Linked DNA regions of Drosophila melanogaster. The protein of the gene in region 1 purifies or fractionates together with the protein of each later gene. This does not show direct contact. Each region holds a gene or a part of one and is shown on either strand. Other genes may lie near its edges.

Region 1 (3,658 bases):
TTGCGCAGGTAGATCGGCGGAATGGTAATCGAGTCAATTGTCAGGCAAGGCGTGATGCACTTGTAGAAGAGACGCTCGTAGGCCAACAGCGGCATCCTGCCCGGCTGTTGGCCCACGTTGGTGTATCCGGACTCGCGGTTCTGCAGCAGATGCACGAGGTTCTGCGATTGTAGGCGCTTCTTGTAGGCCATTCTGACAGATCCTGGGAAAGTTCTGCCAAGTTCCTATTCCTAATGTCAGCCGGGTTCTTCTTCCGATCGGAAGGTAACTAAAGTAAAGTGTGACCGCAGTTAGATTACAAAAATTTACTCTGTCTACAAAAGTTTTGTTGTTAAAAAATATAAGTATAATAATAATAATATTAATGCTTTTCAAGATTCAAATAAAAAACGTTATTTATAAATAAAATAATTCAATACATCTTACTTTACTTTGTTTAAAAAAATGTGTAAATGAATTATCTATGAAAAGCAAATTTAGATTTATTTATTTTTTTTTTTAAATAAAATTATTCTTGAGTGCTTTTAAATGCTCTAAGTATATTATGTATTTCTGAACCATTAGCCTCTTTGATTACGACACCGTTTCATAAACATTTGATGTATAACATTACATATATTTTTTTAATTTTTATCATTAAATATCGTCAACTTTTAATTCCAAACTTGGTTTTACATCACCTCATCTTTAGCTTACACAAATCCCGCGCAAACGTTCTAACGGTTTTCAAAAAACAATGTATTTTTCGAAAATTTTCGGAATTTTAAATTACTATTTCACTTTATTCAGAGTCGAAATGTTCGCAGACATATAAATATACACATCTGTTAGGGATTACGTTGCCCATTCCAGTGACTGCCAAGCGGAGACTATAGTAAGCTTAGACATTGTAGCCTACAATGTGACGCTTGCCGATGCACTCGCCGATGTAGAACCAGAAGATGACCTCGGCGGTCACCAGGGTGTTAAGCCAGGCCTCGCGAACCGTGAGGTTCTTGTAGGCGCCGGTCTTGGCTCCCTTGATGATGTTGCCCAGTCCTTGGCGAATGGCCGGAATATCGGCGGGCGTCGGGGGCGTCAGTTCCACCTTGGCGTACTTCAGGAACACGTCCAGTTGGGGCCTCGCCTGTGTGAGGAGCCCTGCAAAAAGTGATCATTACATAATTTTGCGATTGACAGGCGCCAATGGTGGTGTATCCATTCGATTGCATTCGATTCACGACACTCACTGTTCACAAGTCCTGATCCCTTGGTAGCCAAACTCGCCATCTTTTCAATTTGGTTCTGCAAGCAGTTGGAATTATACAAGAGGAAATCAACGAAATGTGCGGAAAACTTACCTATTCAGTGTGCGACGAAACAGAGATGTTATGCATTGGGGCCAGGGCTGGAGCACTAGTTATCGATCGGCGGATAAATACCAAAAATACCAAATATACATTTCTAAAGTTAATGGAAGAAACTGCAAACAGTAATTTTAAATAACGTTAATAAAATAGCTTATTATGGATAATATAGAGTTAAAATAAAATAAAATAAATTGAATATATATTTATATTTAAAATATTTCATTCTATACAGTAAATAAACAATATGAAATGAGTTACTGAAAATTCCCTTGCAAAATTTATTTAAATATAGTAATTAAAATACATATTACATTTAATATAAAAATAACTTTTTCCCCACCGCATCGTGCAGTATATTTGTCTGATTTTCCGAAATGATGAATCCCTGCAGTATTTTCGAACCACAAAGCTTCGGTCACACTGCAAAGGTGTGGAAATCTTAGTTTCCACAAAACGAGCAAATATTTGCAGTTTTCAAGCCCCAAATTGGCTAATTAGAGTTCGCATCGGATCGAATTTGCCACCGAACCCCCGAAACGGAAGTGGCTGCTTAATGTTTGTTGTGGTGCCAGCCGCCAAACGAAAAGTGTGACGGGCGGTGAGTGTACGATATGCTGTAAAGTGAGGTGGACTGTGTAAAACTAAGCTGCGCCGTTCAAAACCAAAATCAAAATCGCAGCAGCCACTACGATTAGAAAGTGTGAGAGATACCTTTGTGTGTGCATTGTTGCGATTTAGTGCGAATGTTTCAGTGCGAAAATCTGAAAGAGTCAGCCGTTCCGTCCCACACATATGTATGTACATTTACTTGGGTGCTGCTGCTGCTGCGGTTCATGCGTGTGTGTGAGTGCGTGACGGTCTAATTTGCGTTGGTGGGAGGCCGCCGACGATATACGTATATGCACGTATGGAATAGGTGCCCACGTAAAGGCCCCAGGTCGTAGCACCCAGAAACTGCCACCGAAAAGGGGGGCATTATCGACTAATCTCGCCGGGACTGCAAGGTGCATCTTGCGGGGGTGACTTGGGCGTTACGCCCTTATCACCTCGCTGTGGGTATCGTTTCGTGGGGTGTGGTCCAGACGTCGAGTTCGTCAGTCGCGCATATCACAAAACAATTCAAATGGCATTTTGGTGATTGTAATGAACACGTCTCATGGATACATGGATAAGCGTCTCGTGAAATCTTCTGCAATACCATTCTGAGTCTTGTTCATAGACGGTTTAGTATAGTGATGACAAAATTTCTTTTAAACCAATTTTGATAGTATCCAATTAACTTTTTAAACGTCTACTTTTACGGGAAAATTTATAAACAAAGTTAAACGACAATTTGGGAAGTACAATTTTATCGGAATGAAATGTCTTCAATTGATAATCAGCATAAAAAGAAATCTTTTTATTATTGATCCCAATTTGGCATGAGATTATGTAGTAAATCAGTAAATAAAGGGTTTTATATTTAATTAATTTTAAATGCATTAATTCGTATTAAAACAATTTATTACTTATTAATGCCGTTTTCAGTCGATGAGGACGCACTAATTTACGGGTTTGCCAATTTGGAGATAATTGTCAATCGCGCCCGACCATGCCGCTGCCCAAACGATCCATAGAACCCGTGCATGTGGCCCGCTCCGTGTATCAGCAGGATGAGCTGCAATCCGTGGAGCTGGAGACGGTCACCAACACCACGCTGACGAACATCATTCGCCAGCTGTCCTCGCTGTCCAAGCACGCAGAGGATGTGTTCGGTGAACTGGCCCGCGACGTGGGCAACATCGGGGATCGAGCTAACTCCCTGCAGGCGCGCATCGATCGCCTAGCTATCAAAGTTACCCAGCTGGACAGCACAGTTGAGGAGGTGCCCTTGACGGACATTACCCGAAAGAAGGCCTTCAAGTCGGCCAAGGTTTTTGATCAACAGATCTTCTCGCGCGCCACCATGCCGGCACCAATGATGGACACATATGCCCAGTGCGACAAACCGCCGCCCCTCGACAAGCTTAATGTCTATCGAGACGATGGCAAGGATGGTCTTAAGTTCTACACGGATCCGAACTACTTCTTTGAGTTGTGGCGACAGGAGATGCTGAAGGATACCGAACGTGTGATGCACGACAAGGGCAAGAAGCTGAACAGACCGCGGCAGGATGGCGGTGCCGGCGGAGCTGCTGGACGTGGCAATAAGAAACAGAAGACCAAAATAAGGGTGCCGCACAATACGCGCGAACAGCAGCGACAACGTGCACTGGTGCACGGCGAAACATTGATGCCCAACAACGTCATCTACCGCACACCGAATTCCA
Region 2 (6,853 bases), on another chromosome or scaffold:
ATATACTAGCAAAACTCAAATATATCGTTTTAAATATTTATGTATATAAGTTAAAAGTTATATTGAACTGAAGATTTGAGCCAAACTTGTTTCGAGATTGCAGATGCACTAATATAGATATTTATGTATGTATGTATGTAGTTTCTCAACAGATGCATTCCATGCATGGATCAATTAACAAACCATAATAGACCGCGACAAGATCATAATCACGATTAGTGGCAGAGTGCAGGTTAGCCAACCATTTCTTGGATATTACTTGATTTCCCACCAATCTGATCTGCCCACTGAAAATCTCTTTTTTTTTTGGTATAAATTAATACGTTTCTTAACCGAAAAGCATAACCAATTTGAACAATTTGATAGTATTTTATAAAATTGTTATAAACTGAGTAGAAATATGATTCTAAATGGATATATATATATATGCACATCAGTTGATTATGTTGAATATTTGTGTAAATAAACATATGTTTATTGTTGTAAGTATGTAATACTTAGTGGCTATTTAAAATGCGCCAACAGATATCACTGATCCGAACCGTTGGCCAATTTTACAACATCTTTGGCCTATTGGGCCAACATAATGCGTTTTACATGGCTCGAAGATGCGACTGGTGGCTTGCATAATAATCGGCTCGTTTTATAAATACCTGCATATAGATGGAATATAGCCACCATCAATGAGATGGTTCGGCTTGACAACAGATTCCGATTCAGATTCACCTTGAAATTGCCGGATGAGGTGAAATGGAATGGGTTGGTTTGGTTTCGATTGGATTGGATTGGGTTGGGTTGGGTTAGGTTTTCGCTTTGGTTTATGACAGACTGCCGGCCGCCTTGTGAGGCAACCGCTTTGCAGCACGCCCGTGTATGCAAATTGAATTGACCAAAATCCAAAATCCAAATCGAAATCAAAATCAAAATGAAAACGAAAACCTAAACCATAAAACATAAGATGCCGAATAAAAAAAAAAATACGAAATATGAAAGCCCCATTCCGAGCTTATCACTAACGTAGCGTCTCATTTTCATGCTAATTGTGGGATCCCCATTCGGAATTTGGGAAATGCAGCGTAAGACTTGATGAAACTGAAACTGGTAGCTGGTAGCTGGTAGCTGGTAGCTGGTAGCTGGTAGCTGGTAGCTCCGAATCCAACTGGCTATGGAAGAACCAACCACGACGATTGGCACTTTTGGGTGCGTCCAGCAGCATTTGGTGAAAATCGAAATGAAAACGAAAGCCCATCATCATGATGCTGCTCATCATCGTGGCGATGATGATGATGGCGTTGATGGGCAGTTTGGAAATGTTAATGAAACGCCTTTTGTTCGCCCTTGCTGGCTTATATCGTATAAAAGACTTGGTCTCCAATCGATCGGACATCAGTCGCTTGCTCATCGGCACTCAAGGCGTTTTTTTTTTTTTGGAATTGGTATCATCGCATCAAGTGGATTAGTAGTCAGCATGAAGGTGAGCTGCTCACAATGTCCTGTGCCGGCAAATATCCTCTTCTAGTTTTTTTTTTTTTATTTATCCAAACTGATTTGAAAAGTGACAAAGTGGCAAGAGCATCCTGAGCTCAGTTTAAATTCTTTCGAACTTTCGAAGAAGTGATAGTTAATATTCAAATACAAAGTGTGCTGAAGAATATCAGAAGATTGAAAATGAAAATATTTAAACAAAGAATGAATACAAAGTATATCCATTTGGAAAATACAGTCTATGAAGATCAAAGATCCTTTAAAGATATAGAAAAAAAAACCAGCGATAAAACTCTACTTTCTAATTGGAAAACATAACAAAAACTTAATGAACTTTATATATTCTTTAAAATCCTCTAAGGATGCAACATGAAACATGAAACTAAATCGCTTCTTATACTCTGCCATCCTTCCAGGTCTTCGTTTGCATGTGTGCTCTGTTCGCTGTGGCCAACGCTGGCTTCCTGGGACTCCTCGGCGGTGGCGGCGGTGGAGGCGGTGGTGGCGGCCTTAACCTCGGAGGCGGTGGTGGCAACGGAGGCGGCGGCGGTGGTAGTGGCGCTCGCGGCTATGGCGGCCATGGACCCAGTGGCCCAGTCCAGGTGGTCAAGGTGATCCATCAGCAGGGCGGCGTTGGCTACTCCTCCGGCGCTAGCTATGGCAGCGGCTATGGCTACGAGGCGGCTCCCCAGATCTTCAAGGTGAAGGTCATCTCTGGCGGCAGCGGCGGTGGCTATGGACCCGCTCCTGGACCCGCTTATCTGCCTCCAGCTGGGCCCGCCCCCTCCTCCGTCAAGGTGATCAAGATCCTGCAGGAATCCGCACCCATTGTGAGTGCCCCGCTGGTCGAGAGCGCTCCGCAGATTGTCAAGGTGGTGAATGTGGCATCTGGACCCGTGGCTGGACCATCCTTCATCGGCGGCTCTTCGGTTGGCGGCGGTGCCGTGTCCCAGGTCATCAAGGTCGTTCACGAGAGCCACGACAGCGGCATCTCGTCGGGTGGCTACTCGTCGGGTGGCTACTCCTCCGGTGGTTACTCTTCGGGTGGAGCCACCAAGGTGGTGCGTGTGATCCATGAGCACTCCGCTCCAGCTGCCGGTCCAGCCTATGCCCCCATCGATGTGCCCGCACCAGTGGCTGCTCCAGTCGCTTCCTACCTGCCTCCTCAGGAGATCGCTGCTCCGGCTCCAGTTTATGCTGCTCCAGCTCCGGCTCCAGTTTATGCTGCTCCTGCTCCCGCTCCTGTGTACTCCGCACCTGCTCCCGCTCCAGTGTACTCCGCTCCTGCCCCAGCTCCTGTGTACTCTGCTCCTGCTCCCGCTCCAGTGTACTCCGCACCTGCTCCCGCTCCAGCTTACTCCGCTCCTGCTCCCGCTCCAGTTTACTCCGCTCCTGCCCCAGCTCCAGTCTATGCCGCCCCAGCACCCGCTCCCGTCCTGAGTGTGCCACATCCCGCTCCTGCACCCGTTTTTGCTCCCGAGGAGCAGTCCCTGCCCATCGGTCACGCCCCTGCCCAGACCTACGGCCCACCGGGATACTAGAACAATTCGCCAATCTATCGGAGGACCTTCCTGCTAACTACATCGACAGCATATTACCATTCCCACACAACGCCATGAGTTAATTTAAGACATTTTTTTTACAACACATTTTTTTGTTACCAAATACATAGACAATTCCAAAAAAAAAAAATCCAATTTTCTTTTTTCAATTCTATAGTATTTATCATCTTTATAAAGAGTTTCAAAATGGATTATCTTCTATCTGCCAAAAGTATAATTTTAGCCATTGATTAATTCTTGTTTCCATAAAAAAAAAACAAAGTTGCTTTTTATTACTACTTTTGAGAGAAATTTAAACAATCATCCGAGATAAGATATGCGAACTATCCATGAATGCAACACACCAGATGAAATACAAACTATACTATTTGTTAAGATGAAAGACGAGCTCATTTACAAATTGTAAGTTTTTATGCTTATGCGATTTGCATAAATTGGCAAGGGAAAAAGAAACGACGTTCGTCTCTTTCGGCCAAAATGCAAATCACTCATATTTTTGACTTAAAGATTGCCAAAGCATTATCATATCAACGGTCTATCCCACAGCGAGCAAATATTACACATTTCTCTTCACCAGCTCACATACATATATTATAAACTATATAAACACACAGTTTAGCGGCATAACATGAAAAAAAAAAGAAAAAAAAATCATTTGCCTGGTGGATCACGGGTCATTAATACGATATTATGATTCGCTTTTTTATTGTTTCATAACTCTCTGGCTTTTTAAGGTGATCGTTATGTTTTTTATTTATTTCAGACACAAAGCATCGATTGTGGTTTATTGGTGGCGGTTGTGTGGTGATTACGTCTATTCGGCAGCCTTGACTAACGCTTCGGCGACCTCCACGGCAATGGCAGCCTGGGCCTTGGCCTGCAAAACAAGGATCGTGGTTAAGTCTCGTTTAGATAGCTTCAGAATGTGCAATACAGAATGCAAAAGCAACTCAAACATAAGTTTACTCATGGAAATATCGAATGTGTAAGCGTTAATTTAAGAGCAAACTTGTTTGTACAAAGAAAGTATATCAAGTAAAAAGGATGGGCACATAGAAATCGTTTAGTAACTTAAATGCCAGTTGGCGTGAATGGTGGAAGCAGTGTTTCCATCAAAAGAGTCTGTTTGAGTTGTACTTTCTGGACCACTACTTCTACTTTCTAGACACTACTCTACTATGCAACTTCTTGACTAGATTCGCACCTTGTCGTCGCCAGCGGAGCTAAGCTGTGACTGGTATTTCGCGAGCAGCTGGCGCGCCTCATTGGCATCGATGTCCTCGATGTTGTGGGCCTCCTCGGCCAGAACCTGAACGGAGGAATCCTCGTTGACGGTGACGGAACCGCTGGAGACGAAGAACTTGAGGGTCTTGCCATCGTTTTCCACCACCTGGACAACGCCGGGCTTCAGGACAGCTGCAATAGCAAAGAGATTCGCCAACGGTGATATAACCATCTCGAGGCAACTGAAACTGAATGATCGAACTTACCCAGAGTGGGCACGTGCTTGGCCAGGATGCCGAAGGATCCCGAGAAGGAAGGCACATCGATTTGGCGCACCACAGCGGCATCGTAGAAGGTTTTGTTGGCGGCGGCGAAGGTCAGCTTCATCTCATCCGAGTAGCTGCGGTTCTGGGCCAAGCGAGCGCCGCGGGCGGCCAGCAAACGGGCGTTCTTAACGAAGGACATTTTGGGCTGCAACGAGAGGATAAATTCAGGATTAAAAGTCTTTTCTGCCACAGCCAGCCAGCATAACAACAAAATAACCAAATTATGTAACTTTGTAGGTTAGGCGGCGGCTGCTATTGCGTTTCCCCAGCTCAAATTTCGATCGCTTTTCATTGCAAATCCTCGGGCACTGTGATCAGTGGACTACCCCTCAATTTATCAGTTATTTTCACCTGTTTTTATTTCGGTTTGATAGCGAAAAACACGAGAAAACTTCAGTGATCAGCCGCTGTTTTTGCGAAAAACGTTTAAGTCAGAGTGACCAGCCGGGAATACAAAACTTATCTAGCAATAACGCGTTTTTACGATATTTAGAGGACAAGACAAAATACAAAATTTTCAATACGCAACAGGCTCTTACAAAATAAAAAGTGCAATCATTTCACACATAATAATTAAGTGTTTTAATTATAATAATAAAGTGCCTCAATCAATAAACAAATTATATAGACCAATAAACTTTTAGTGGCAACACTTATTCTTTTAATTCATTAGTCTGGCATCGCCAATTAAAAGCTTAAATTTTTTGTATATTGCTTTTGATCGTACATTAAAAATGATATTAAAAGAAAAACTATTTATTCCAAAAATTATAATTTAAAAAATGAAATTTCCTTTATTAGATTAAGACTTTGATTAATAACGGTGTGTTTACATGGCATAACCATGCGACCATTTATACTGTTATGAATCTGGTGTTTTTGATTTTGTTTAGTTTCTTTTTCAGTATTTCCTTTTTTATTAGATCCTTTTATTAAAGTTCGGAGTTTTTTCGTATCTCACGAATCTTTTACCCGCGCAACATTCAAAACTGGCGTTAGCGACTATTTTTAGCCACCGCGCTACCTGGTCACACTGGCACAGGCAGCACAACAACAAATTCCAATTGGAAATAGAAACGAAACAATGCAGATTGCTGCATTATTATACAAGTGAAGAAGAAGAGAGTGCCATTTTCGGCTGCTATTTGTGCACGTCTCTGTGACTGTGTGTGAGTGTGTGCGTGTCGCGTGTGTGCTCTGCGCTGAGGTGTTTGTTGGCGAACGACAGCGAAAGGCGACAAGCAAACAAACAAACAAACAAAACACACAGGACGTAAGTGCTTGCAACATTTACCCAAGTTTGTCACCCACTCGCGCCCTCTCTGTCGCACCTGCAGGCGAAACGCAGTTGCGAAAAACAACAGTGTTTCCCCATGTTTGTGTTTGTGTGCATAGATAGCTGTCTATATATTTTTCGCTCTGCTTATTTTCTATTTTGTTTTGTTATATCTTCTATTTTGCTTGGCTCTTCGTGTATGTGTATAGGTGTCTTAGCAAATTGCGCCTTTCAGTTGGAAAAACTCTGCAAAAAATAGAAACAGAAAGCTTGCCTTAAAGTTCATTCCTCACACACACAGCTGACTTTGTTGTGGAAAAAGGGTGTGAAGAAGAGAAGGATTTTCTGCTTTTTGTTTGTTGCACACATACAGGCCCGCATACACATGTGAACGAGCAGCTGTAGCGCGCATGTGTATGTGTTTGTGTATTTTTGTTTACCTCTCTCTCCGCCGTCACACTCTCACTCACTCTCTTCTCCGCTGTCTTGCCCTCTGCCTGCGTCGCGGTCGCCAGTGGCGTCGCAACGCAATATATTTCATGTTATTTCTGATAAGAGAACTAACCGCAATCGGTCTATATAAACATATATACAACAGATCCGATCCTTAGCTATTGACCCCAAGCTATAGCGGTGCGAGCGGAACGGCAACATCGCAAAGAAGCAGCGGCATAAGACAACAACAATGTTGGGTCGTTGCTCCTCTTTTTGCTTCTTCGCTTTCATCTTCTGCTCCTTTTGTTTTTTGTTACGGTACTTTTAGATACTTCGAAAAGTGTATACCCTTCGTACTATCTGATTCAGGCAAAATTATATGTAGGTTTTCTTGTCATCCGATCTTTATGATTAGTTGTCAATCTCAACTAATTAAGAATAAAACAAATAATTAAAAACCCATAATAATTCTCAAAAGTAATGTTCAGCTTAGTGAAGTAAATGACATTCTACTTGCGTTTTAAAATTTGTTTTCTAATTAGTTC
Region 3 (3,813 bases), on another chromosome or scaffold:
AGATGAGCCAGATTTCCGAGTGCATCGCATGGTGACAACAGGTTCGATTCAAATGAATATGGAAATGATTCTGCTGAGCTCACAAAAAATTTAAGCATTTGCTTTTCAAATTAGATCATATGGCTATGCTATTCGAAACAGATGTGAAAAAGTAACAAGTTTTAGCTCTACAATGTTTACTTTAAATTTAGCATTTACGAAGTATAAATAGACACATTATTTACGCATTATGTTTTATTATATTTAAGACAAAATACAATCAACGTAAGTTAAAATATAAGATTGCAAACCTATTTACCCTCAATTCTAAATGTTTAAATATACAATAGTACATGACAATTTTGCATTTCCCGTTACGAAATTATATTTGTGTTTTTATCTCGGTAGAACCTTGAAAACCATGTTGTGTCAAGATGCAGCGAAAGCAGCGGGTGGCAACTTTTGGCAGGCAGTGTGCGAAAGCTAAGGTCAGGCCCATCTCTAGGTTGCTTCCGCACACAGACACGCACGCACACAGCGATGGGGAAATGCCAACGATAGCACAGGTCTAATCCATTTAATTCTGGCTTTTAACCGATTTCTGCTAATACTATTTATTTACCCGTTTGGTTTTGGCGACTGCTCTCTCTCTCTCCCTCCGTTCTTATTGCCGTGTGGCCATAATCCAATTATGCTTGTGTTTGTGTGTATGTGTCTGCTCTCTATTGCAATTGCAGTTATTCGCATCCGCCGTGATATGCAACCAACACATTCGCACTCGCGCACTCACACGCACCCGCAGACATCACAAATGCGAGGACCGAAAATCCTGAGCGTCAACAAAATAAATATAGCTCTGGTGTTTTAAAATAGGTTTTCACTCGATTCTGCGTTTGCTGTCTCGTCTTGTTTATGTGCATTCGTCGTTGGTTGTGTGTACTTGTTTTTTTTTTTTTTTGTTAGACGCGACTGTCCATTCAACATTACCACTCAGCCGACGCAGAGCGAGATTATAATTCGGTAACCGATTCACTGGCACTGCTCTAACGGGCTATAGCCTATGATCCAGTCTGGAATGGAGCTAAAGATATGTTGCTTTCATTTATGTCTGCACTCGCGAAAAAGCGTCCACAAATTAACAGTTCTTCGGGAGCGACGCGCAGCTAGACGTCCGACTTTGTTTTCCGACTCGATTAGAGTGACCGTTGTGGGATGGTGGAAAAAAGTGGAGGGCCCATGCTGAAACCGATAACAAAAATACCAGATGTGCGATATACACTATCGATAACGAGCACAATTTCTTAATTCTAATTTAAAACAATTATATAACGGGCTTTCGTGTTTTATTTAACAAATAGTGAATAAAATGCGGCTACTTCTTTTTGATGTACTTCATGTACTTCTTGGCGTTGAAGTTGTCCTCCACCTCCTCCATGATCTTGACCTTCTTGCGCGGCTTGCGGGCCTCCAATCTCGCTCTGCGCTCCGCATCGGTTAAGGTGCTCAGATCCAAGGGAAGCTAGTAGATGGTACTCGTTAATTATGGTTTCGTTAAGTTATAGTAACTAACGTTACCTTGATAATCTTCCTGGGCTCGTGATAGCGGATGTTTATCGTGGATCCATCGGGTTGCACCACAACTGTGGGATATAGCCGGCAGTAAACCGAGCGATGCAGCCTGGTAACCGCCGTCGTGGCCGATGAGATGCAGCGTATCTGCTGAACAGCCTGGGGCAACTGTTTCAGCAACATTTTAATTGATAATCACAATATTTACACTAAATAAGAGCTACACTTAAATCGTGTTTTTGCTGCCAGGCAGCTGATAGTGTGACCGACCCGAGGGTAAGATTTAAAGACTCCTAAATTAGTTATTAAGAATCTGTGGTAGCCCTGGTTCAGTTTCCACATTATGTGGTATTTTCCCCAGCTCTGGTCACATTCGTACTCAAAGTGTAAGTGTTGGTTGCAGAGGCAGAAATTCTTATTTTTCTCCTTGAAAATATAAGTACGTTACGTTAAACACTGCAAAAATAATAAAAAAAAAGCGCACGGTTGGGCTACAACAGCGATTAGTCTGCAAGCCTCGAGGAAAGGACTGCAAACGCGTTTTTAGTTTGAAGGAACATTGAGGATTGAAAAAAATTACATAATTTTTGCGAGCATAACTCGCCGTGCATTATGTCGATAAGTCTGCAACTAAAGAAGCAGAGATTACATTTCAACTAATAAGAATATCGCTGCACAGTTCCAGGACACCTAGAAATCACTTACCACCTCTATAAACCCAAAAACCTAACCTCATCCCCGCTTTTGTTGTTGTCTTGCAGTATCTGTGCAGAATGGCCGCCCGCCGTATCGCCCAATCCTCGATCAACTGGTCCGCTCTCGCCGAGCGCGTGCCCGCCAACCAGAAGAGCAGCTTCGGCGCCTTCAAGACCAAGTCGGACATCTATGTGCGCGCCGTGCTGGCCAATCCCGAGTGCCCACCCCAGATCGATTGGGCCAACTACAAGAAGCTTGTGCCAGTGGCCGGACTCGTCGATAGCTTCCAGAAGCAGTACGAAGCCCTGAAGGTGCCCTATCCCCAGGACAAGGTGTCGTCCCAGGTGGATGCCGAGATCAAGGCGTCGCAGAGCGAAATCGATGCCTACAAGAAGGCCTCGGAGCAGCGCATTCAGAACTACCAAAAGGAGATCGCCCATCTCAAGTCTCTGCTGCCCTACGACCAGATGACCATGGAGGACTACCGCGACGCATTCCCCGATAGCGCACTCGATCCCCTCAACAAGCCCACCTTCTGGCCCCACACTCCCGAGGAGCAGGTCGGCTACAAGTCCAAGGAGCAGCTGGAGGCCGAAGCCCAGGGACACCACTAAACCGGAGCGCACGAGGAGCACTCTGACACTGGCTTCGTTGGTCGTCTGTTCGATTCGAAATGTAATCCGCGTTGAAGTAAATTACCCAAATTAAATTCATTTCAAATGACAGTTACGGTATCTAATTTGCATTTGTTGTCTATGTGACATCTTGTTGGATGGATATGCATAAAGAAAATGGGATCCTTAAATCAAAATAATGAAATAAATTGAGAAAACAATCAATTTGACAGCCCAATGCACTGGAAATGATAGCCGGTCCTTGCAGTTTTATAAGCTAATAGATAAAAATCAAATGCACAAATAAATAAATAAGCAAATTGGCTACAATTCAAACTTAAACTTAAACAAAAATTAAAATTACTAATCGGCACCAATGGTGGTGCTAGACTCCGCTAAATGCGGATGTTGTACTTGCTAAATGAAACTAAAGCTCCCTCTTGTGGGCGGTGGCAAATAAATTCCCAGAGATGTCGGTTTCTGGGAATGAAAAGCACTTCCTGATTTCTAAAAAATTTAATAATTCCGAAAGTACTTTATATTGAAATTTAATGTGCGTCAAATTAGCGTCGATGAGTTAGAGGCGGCACAGTAAGTGGGAATTCCTGCTCCTTATTGCCACACCGCTGGATTTTAATACTTTTAAACCTCTACCTTGGTTTGTGTCCGCACTACAGGCAGTATATTCTAACTGGATTTTCCCGATCGCCTTAGTATATTTTTCAAATGTTTATTGGTTGAAAGACTGAGCACTGCTAGCATTTATTTTGAGAGAATTCAAGCAGTGCCATCTTGTTTGGCTCTCCGAAAGCCGTTAAAAGCTTCAGTCGCCGCTCAAATCTCGTTTCTCTCGCCATCTCGCTCCAACTCGAACAAGCTCACCTTTTGCGAGGAAAAAACCGCAGCAGCGCGCGTCTTAACTTGTCCGCGAAGTGCACCTTCGTGATCGGAGCCG

The links.
Region 2: the proteins of ATPsynG (region 1) and ATPsyndelta purify together in Drosophila melanogaster (affinity purification with mass spectrometry; 2 studies listed by BioGRID, with this or other methods). This does not show direct contact.
Region 3: the proteins of ATPsynG (region 1) and ATPsynD purify together in Drosophila melanogaster (affinity purification with mass spectrometry; 2 studies listed by BioGRID, with this or other methods). This does not show direct contact.

Annotation. Positions count from the first base shown.
Region 1 is NT_033779.5:10,975,022-10,978,679, forward strand, and holds ATPsynG (ATP synthase, subunit G), read right to left. Parts: upstream 1,379-3,658; 5' UTR 1,341-1,378; exon of another isoform or gene 1,285-1,340; 5' UTR 1,270-1,284; coding exon 1,230-1,269; intron 1,141-1,229; coding exon 881-1,140; 3' UTR 501-880; downstream 1-500. Other genes in the region: abo (abnormal oocyte), read right to left, coding at 1-191; SCAR, read left to right, coding at 2,941-3,658.
Region 2 is NC_004354.4:10,211,170-10,218,022, reverse strand, and holds ATPsyndelta (ATP synthase, delta subunit), read right to left. Parts: upstream 5,054-6,853; 5' UTR 4,949-5,053; intron 4,743-4,948; 5' UTR 4,737-4,742; coding exon 4,538-4,736; intron 4,464-4,537; coding exon 4,252-4,463; intron 3,925-4,251; coding exon 3,862-3,924; 3' UTR 3,027-3,861; coding exon of another isoform or gene 1,902-3,026; 3' UTR 1,475-1,901; coding exon of another isoform or gene 1,469-1,474; 3' UTR 630-1,468; downstream 1-629. Other genes in the region: CG2962 (uncharacterized protein), read left to right, coding at 1,469-1,474, 1,902-3,026.
Region 3 is NT_033777.3:19,093,088-19,096,900, forward strand, and holds ATPsynD (ATP synthase, subunit D), read left to right. Parts: upstream 1-1,912; 5' UTR 1,913-1,987; intron 1,988-2,309; 5' UTR 2,310-2,321; coding exon 2,322-2,858; 3' UTR 2,859-3,184; downstream 3,185-3,813. Other genes in the region: mRpL55 (mitochondrial ribosomal protein L55), read right to left, coding at 1,352-1,498, 1,555-1,731. UniProt on the Drosophila melanogaster protein: Mitochondrial membrane ATP synthase (F(1)F(0) ATP synthase or Complex V) produces ATP from ADP in the presence of a proton gradient across the membrane which is generated by electron transport complexes of the respiratory chain.